Linked DNA regions of Tribolium castaneum. The protein of the gene in region 1 purifies or fractionates together with the protein of each later gene. This does not show direct contact. Links are inferred from orthologs where the notes say so. Each region holds a gene or a part of one and is shown on either strand. Other genes may lie near its edges. The genes, in order: M-phase inducer phosphatase and SkpA.

Region 1 (4,611 bases):
TTTTTTGTTTTTCCTTTTATTCCTTTTTTTATTTATTATGCGACTTTGTGCAGATTTTGAGATTTGTTTAAATTTTCTACGAAGACGAACTCAAGCCCTTATTTGTAATTTTCTGCAGTTAGGTTGAGTCCTTCCTGGAGCTGCTTTCTAATGAGGGTGTTTGCCTTCTCGAAAAGCAGCCTTGGTTATTTTTAACCCGAAAATCCTCTGATATTCCGCGTCGGTGATAACCGTTGGTCGGAATTTACTTTCTCCCGAGCTGCGAAACGATAAGATAACTAATTACTTTCGAAGAAGCAATTCTTTTATGTTTGGACAGTCTGAAAGTGAATAGATTTTGTGTAAATTATGCAAATTGGTCCATTCCCTGGCCACTTTGAGATGAAGGGATGACCTAAACAGGTAGAGGTGGGAACGTCGGCAATTTGCCGGGATAAAGGTAAATTTTCCTGTATCCAGTCTGCGCATTTCGCACAATGATCCAATTGTTCGGCCAGTTCCCATGTCACTTACAGGGAACGTATTATTCTCACGCGAATGATCCTCTGATCTCTTCCTATCGGAGGCATACAGTATAACTCTCACTCTGATAACGCTATATTCAGGTTTCAGAACGGTCTTAAATGCCAATTCAACACATTCTATACTTATCACACACATGCCTCAAATATAAATATTTCTCGGCGTCATACACCACAACCAAAAATTTTATTCATGTGCTGACTTCATTTGCTCCCATTTCCTTCGATTAGGATAAACAAAACTGTATCAATTTTAAATAAATAAATTTATCAACATGTGCTATAGTTCAATGTGATACATAAATATCAAACTGAAATGCAAAAAGAACTGACCGCTCAACAGCTGCCAAGGAAGAAAGATACTCAACTTCATAACTATTTAGCTCGCTATGCTCACTCAAGGATAACAATTTTCAGATCAGATTCTGAGCCTCGGCAACCAAATGTTTAACCAGACTTCAATAAAGTCTGAAACATGAATCCATAAGTGAACAGTATTCTGATTCGGAAATTTGAAAAGAAAAATCGAATTTTAGAGCAGTAAAAATCCATTTATTTATTCCATATAAAGCAAAGTGAAATAAAACAGTAACAAAACTCACTAATTATAAATATGCCAAATGCCTAGCTTATTTCAAAATAATGCAAATAATGCATTTTTTGAATTTATCAGCATCTGTTGCGTACTGGCCATTTATTTATTTATTATTTTCACCGACAATTTATTAGTTTAACACAATTTATTTATCTTATTGATCCACTATTATTTTCACCAAAAAATAAAATTAAACTGAAATGCTGATAACACATTTGTACCGAAACATCAAGTGAATAAATCGCAGAACATTTATCTAGGAATTTTGAACTTCCTCACATGAATAAACATTTGCGTTTTTTCGATGCGAAAGAGGGGAATAAATCAAAAAATTGGAGATGTACAAACAGAAATAAATTTAATTCTGAATAAATAACAAATCGGATAAAATAAATTTGGCTAATTCGGAATTCTCGCTGTCCGGTCTATTAATATTTAAATATTACGTGATTAATTCCAAATATATCACGCGGGTTCGCACGCTGTTTTTTCCCAAGACCCGTTCCAAATTAGGCGCAAGTTTTGTAAAGAAACTGGATTTTTTCCAAAAATGCGGAAAGGGTGTATGGTAAAAATTTTCATTCCCAGGCGCCCCTCCCTTGCTTTCTTTTGGCGCCCTTGCCCTATCCCTACTCCCCACCGACGATGTGGGGACGAGCTGTAATAGGATAAAGACTGAGGTAGGCTACCTTCACTTCCAAGTCGCGTTTGTGTGGTGTGCGAGGACGTATCGTCCTGGTTTGAGTGCTTGTTGCTTGTGTTAGATTTTAAGACGTTTTAAGGATATTTCACCGCTTTCTTCCGACAATGTGGGATTCGATAAGCACGGATTCTTGTGATGTCTGCCAGTGCCCCCCAAGGTAATTGCCGTGCGGTTTTCAGCCCCTTCGCGATTTCGCGAACAACCCCCGAACCACTTATCAGTTTATCATAATTTTGTGGATTACGTATGCACAGTTGACGCGTTTTTCCCCGATAGTAATTTTTTGGGCCTGCGGTTGGGCGTTTTTTTGACCCTGCGTTTTTTGGGTGATAAAGGTGACAAGGACACTCAAAATTCAGTTTGCTGGTTTCGGGCGGGAAACGCCGTTTTTGCATTTTCGGGGGGACAGGTCCGGAACTGCTCGTTTTGTTTGATTAATTCAAGGCCGTTTTTGTTTCAGATCGAAACGAGGGGACGATTCTTGTTTGGATAAAGAAAATATTCAGCAAGCGTTAAGTCCGGTCAAAATAGAAGAGTTATCGTTTTACGGAAATTCGAGTCCTCCGGCAATAATCTGCTCCGGGACTTCACCGAATCACTGCAACCACAATATAATAACTCGGCGCCCCCTTGAGGACCACGACCCCAATTCGCGCGATTCCGGTTACGTTGCTAATTACAATGAGGGTAAATTCTCGACTTATGCTTCCCCGACTCGGGGGTCGTTCGAACTGGCCTCGATCGGGTCCATGGAGGACGAGTTTTTCGAGGATTTTTCCGATATTGAGCCCTTGGAGGACAACTTGCCGCAGGATTTCGGGAAATTGATCACTGGACCGATCAATTTCCAGAACCGGAAAGAGACACCGACTTCGCCGAGGGATCTAGTAATTCGGCCCTTATTTCGAAGGGCTTTGTCCTTGCAAACTGAAAGGACGCCGCCAAGCAGGGTCAGGTCTTGCCTCTTCAAAACAACAGAATCTCGCCCGTTTAAGAGACCAGAACCGCCGCAAGGATTCGAAAGCCCAAATTCGAAAAAACAGAAAATTGAGGATGAGGAAGCCGCTGTTCCAGTCGCAAGGCCTGTGCTTCAGAGATGCGTGTCTGCGACGGAGGAGAGTATAAAGTTTGCGGTCCAGAGGTCATTCGTGGAGCCAGACCTCATCGGTGACTTCAGCAAGACGTTTTGTTTGCCCTTAACGCAAGGCCGTCATCAGGACTTGAAGTGCATCACTGCTGACACTTTGGCCAAACTAATCCGTGGTGACTTTAGCGGAAACGTCGCCTCTTACAAAGTTATCGATTGCCGGTACCCTTACGAGTACAAGGGTGGCCATATTGACGGCGCCATTAACGTCTACACCAAGGAGCAGTGCATGGAACTATTAACTAACGTCGCCTCTGCGAGCAAGGAGCCGCGCAAAAGGAGCAATATCCTGGTTTTCCATTGCGAGTTTTCGAGCAAGCGGGGTCCAGATTTGTAAGTTTTGCTTCTGGAGGGTTGTATCGCCGTGCTAATGATGTTTTTGCTTCCAGATATCGGTATTTGCGTGAGCAGGACCGCCAGCTCAACCAGGACGTCTACCCTTCGTTGCACTACCCCGAAGTCTACCTACTTGAGGGTGGCTATAAGAAGTTCTTCGAGGAATATTCCGACCTCTGCGTTCCTATAGCCTACACGGAGATGCTGCACCCGGAATATGAGAATGAGTTGCGACATTTCCGGCTCAAATCCAAAACCTGGAATGCTGATACGCGTCAACGGTCCGGGTGCCGTCACAATTTGAAAAGACTAGGACTGTAAATATCGAATCCCAGTGCCAAAATTTGTGAGATAGTACAAAATACAAGTGCGCGGACTTGTTTGCCAAATGATATGTACAAAGTAATGTGCTATATTAGCATGTATCCTGAAGACTTAGTCTTCTTAGTGTATATTACAACTGTATATAAGAGAGTACCTAAATAGCTTGCTCCAGAGTAGTTGAGATGAGATCTTTCCTTTTGCAATGCTAAACCACCAAAGTTTTCTTTTTGTTATTTAGACAGTCGACGGATCATCCTGGTCCCCCTTTAATTTATTTTTTATGTGCAATTTGAACAGCAATAACGATGTGATGTTGCATTTCTTTACCAGTACATTATGCTTCCTTGCTGTTGCGCTGGTGTTTGTTTGCAGATTTTTTATGTTCATTTTATTAGTTTAGTATAGTCTAAGTGTCAGTATTGTTTTTGTATCCTTCAGCATATTCAAATGTGTTCGAATGCAACGGCTGGGGATTTTATACTACTTGAATGTGATTTGTTCACTATTTGGACGGACTGATGCTTACCCATCCGTTGCATCATAGATTTTTAAAGTGATACTTAATATTATAGATCTGTACAATATTTTAATATTTTTATAACTTATGATAATACATTTTTGTTCCACATCAAAACGAACTTTCTTTACCCTTGCACAACAAATTCGTTATTTTGCATCGGTTATTTACCGCTAGAAAGCTACAACGCGCCATCTACCAATCAGCGGGAAAAATCCGACTTGCCTTCCTAGAAAAATTTAACCGTTGAAGTGCCGTAATATTTTCACAAGTACATCATAACTGGCCGTCAGATTTAAAACAGTTAAGTGGCAGTTAGTGAAATCACCACCAATTAAAAGAATTAAAGAAACAAATTTATGAAGCGACATCTATCAAGCTGTAGCTAAATATATTGCGTAATAGATTATGTAATGCATGCTTCCATTTTCCAACAATAGGTGTCAGCCTATGACGACAACAGCCGGC
Region 2 (2,771 bases), on another chromosome or scaffold:
CTTTGGGGGGCATGTCTTTCTGGACGTTGACTTATCCAGTCGATGTGGCCAAAAGTCGGATTCAAGTCACTAATAGTAAAATGAATATGGTTGCAATGATTTTGCAAATATCGAGGCGGGAAGGCTTCAGACAGCTTTATAACGGGTTGACTCCAACGTTAGTTCGGACTATTCCATCCACTGCCACTCTTTTTGCAACTTACGAGTATTCCAAAAGATTCCTCCACCAAATTTTCTGATTAGAAATAAAACTCGAACATAGTTTTTATATTTTATTTTTATCCAATAAATAAATAAATAGGAATACTGGGGTAATACTGTCCGGCCTGTCTTTTATTATTCTCCTCACTTCAGATAATTGCTATTTTCGGGATCGAACTCGGGGGACGATTCTATGGCTTTTTTCAGTAGTTCCCCGAAAAGACTCGGACTGTTAAGGATTGTAGGGAAATCGCGGGACCGGTCAATCCCCGAAAAATCGGAATCCAGGGCTGGCACCCTAACAAATGAATCAAACTTTTGCACTTTAATTGTTTTAATGACTACCTGTACTCGTCACTGAGACGGCTTAAAATGTCTCGCTTTTGCTGCCCGCGGCACACGGGAGAAAAAATGTGTGTCCTTAAATAATTAATTAATTAAATAAACCTGATATTATGTAATTAGTACCTGCAATGATTTTTTTTCAGCAAGTTGGGGTTTTTGACCAAAGCCCCGTGGGTAATTTCAATAGATAGGAAAATAATGCTGACGAATAACAACAAAGTGATTCGGTGGTCCGTAATGGACTTTTTCATTGTTGTGGAACCCTAAAAATCAGATAACAATTTGTTTGTGTTTTGCTCCAAAACACTTGAGAAGTCAAGTTAGATAAGAATTGGAAGTTTTCAAGTAATAAAGATTCGGTCAATTGTTGCGTCAGATTGTTACAATTAGTTGTTTTTATGCAATAAAGAGTGTTATCGCAAAAATTTCAAAATAATGTGTAAGAAAGAGGGTGATAAGGAGAAAATCAAAAAAGACGACTCAGACAGACTTACCATTGTTTGGCTTGGAGACAGGCGGTGAAGACGGACAATCTGGCTCCCAAATTCTTGGGCCACCTCTTTTAAATCAAGAGCGGGGTCTTGCGCAAACCAAGTGCAACAATTTTAACGCACAATTAAGCTTTATATTGCGGCTCTTCCCATATTACATTATCCGAGGCAAATAACGCGCTACGTGTTTTGATGAAAATTTTGCCGCGTCATTGCGTATTTGCTGCAATAACTCGTTTTGAATTAATTTGTTTATAACAATTGGTTCGAATCTGGCGCCCGTGTGGGGACGCTTGCGCGTTACACCTGTCATCCACCATTATTGCCGTCTATTGTCATATTCTGTCATCGAAGAAAAACCGTGAAAAATGCCGAATATTAAACTGCGTTCCTCCGACGGTGAAACGTTCGAGGTGGACGTGGAGATCGCGAAATGTTCAGTGACCATCAAGACCATGCTGGAGGACCTGGGGATGGACGAGGAGGAAGAGGAAGTGGTGCCTCTCCCCAATGTCAATTCGGCGATTTTGAAGAAAGTTATCCAGTGGTCCACTTATCACAAAGATGATCCTCCACCGCCCGAAGACGACGAGAACAAGGAGAAACGCACGGATGATATTTCGTCATGGGACGCCGATTTTCTCAAAGTGGACCAAGGCACTTTGTTTGAGCTGATCCTGGCGGCGAATTACCTGGACATCAAGGGGCTGCTCGATGTGACTTGCAAGACAGTCGCCAACATGATCAAGGGCAAGGCCCCCGAGGAGATCCGCAAGACTTTCAACATCAAGAACGACTTCACAGCCTCCGAGGAGGAGCAAGTGCGCAAGGAGAACGAATGGTGTGAGGAGAAGTAAACTCGTATTTTTTTTATTTAAGATTATTTCCAAAATTGCGTTCATTGTTTTATTGTAATATGATTATTTAAATCAAACGCCATTTCGACCCAACTGGTTGTTTATTTGCACCTTAACCAATTATAATAGGTGTCGGATAAAATATAGTATACAAGTGTTAAAATACGCCATAATCATCGCAAGACCCCGCCTCGTTCCCGCAAATGCGGGCCCCCATAAACGCCCCCATTAAAACCGCTACAAATATCATCGTTAAAAACCCTAAAAAGTACAGCCACGTCCTGGAGGAACACAAGGACCACCAACACCTACAACTCGCAATTAATTGGCAGCTTTTTAACCACAACTAACCCTCGGGTAAAACACCCATTTCGCTTGATTTCATCCTCCACGAAATTTTCCGACTTGGATAGTTGTTCATTCATTAATTTAATAATTTTGCATTTGATGTGTTTGAGCTTCTGTTTCGTTTCCAAAACGTCGCAGTCACAATCATCATCACGGCTCATTAAACTGGAATTGTGTTAGGATTAAGGAAATTCAATTTGTAGTGTGCAAATTGAGATTATGACGTTAAGGTGTCATTTTGGGCACGTAACTTCAGTGTCACAAAGGGACCCCGAATTACGAGCTAAACCACTGACCTGGTTTCTTGCCAATTCTGTTTGTTTGTCAGTGTACATCAGCGATTTTTGAATAAACTGTTTTTTATCAAATAACTAGTTTTTTAATTTAATAATCCCGCATTCTTGCATTTGTTCCACAACAATGATTGTATTATTTTAATTCTCCAAGTGCAAGTTTTTGTAGTTTTGAAAAAAGTAGGAATATTTTCGGCGTCAGCAGGGTGGTGAAACCTAAATGCACCAAGCCAAGT

The links.
Region 2: the proteins of M-phase inducer phosphatase (region 1) and SkpA purify together in Homo sapiens (affinity purification with western blotting; 6 studies listed by BioGRID and IntAct, with this or other methods). This does not show direct contact. The link is inferred for Tribolium castaneum from reciprocal best matches to the Homo sapiens genes CDC25A and SKP1.

Annotation. Positions count from the first base shown.
Region 1 is NC_087403.1:1,088,450-1,093,060, forward strand, and holds M-phase inducer phosphatase, read left to right. Parts: upstream 1-1,772; 5' UTR 1,773-1,923; coding exon 1,924-1,976; intron 1,977-2,279; coding exon 2,280-3,299; intron 3,300-3,355; coding exon 3,356-3,623; 3' UTR 3,624-4,260; downstream 4,261-4,611. Other genes in the region: protein D3, read left to right, coding at 4,561-4,611. UniProt on the Homo sapiens protein: Tyrosine protein phosphatase which functions as a dosage-dependent inducer of mitotic progression. Directly dephosphorylates CDK1 and stimulates its kinase activity. Also dephosphorylates CDK2 in complex with cyclin-E, in vitro.
Region 2 is NC_087402.1:1,038,955-1,041,725, reverse strand, and holds SkpA (S-phase kinase-associated protein 1), read left to right. Parts: upstream 1-1,327; 5' UTR 1,328-1,405; coding exon 1,406-1,894; 3' UTR 1,895-1,987; downstream 1,988-2,771. Other genes in the region: mitochondrial ornithine transporter 1, read left to right, coding at 1-239; uncharacterized protein LOC103312555, read right to left, coding at 346-499, 547-621, 670-809, 1,041-1,043. UniProt on the Homo sapiens protein: Essential component of the SCF (SKP1-CUL1-F-box protein) ubiquitin ligase complex, which mediates the ubiquitination of proteins involved in cell cycle progression, signal transduction and transcription.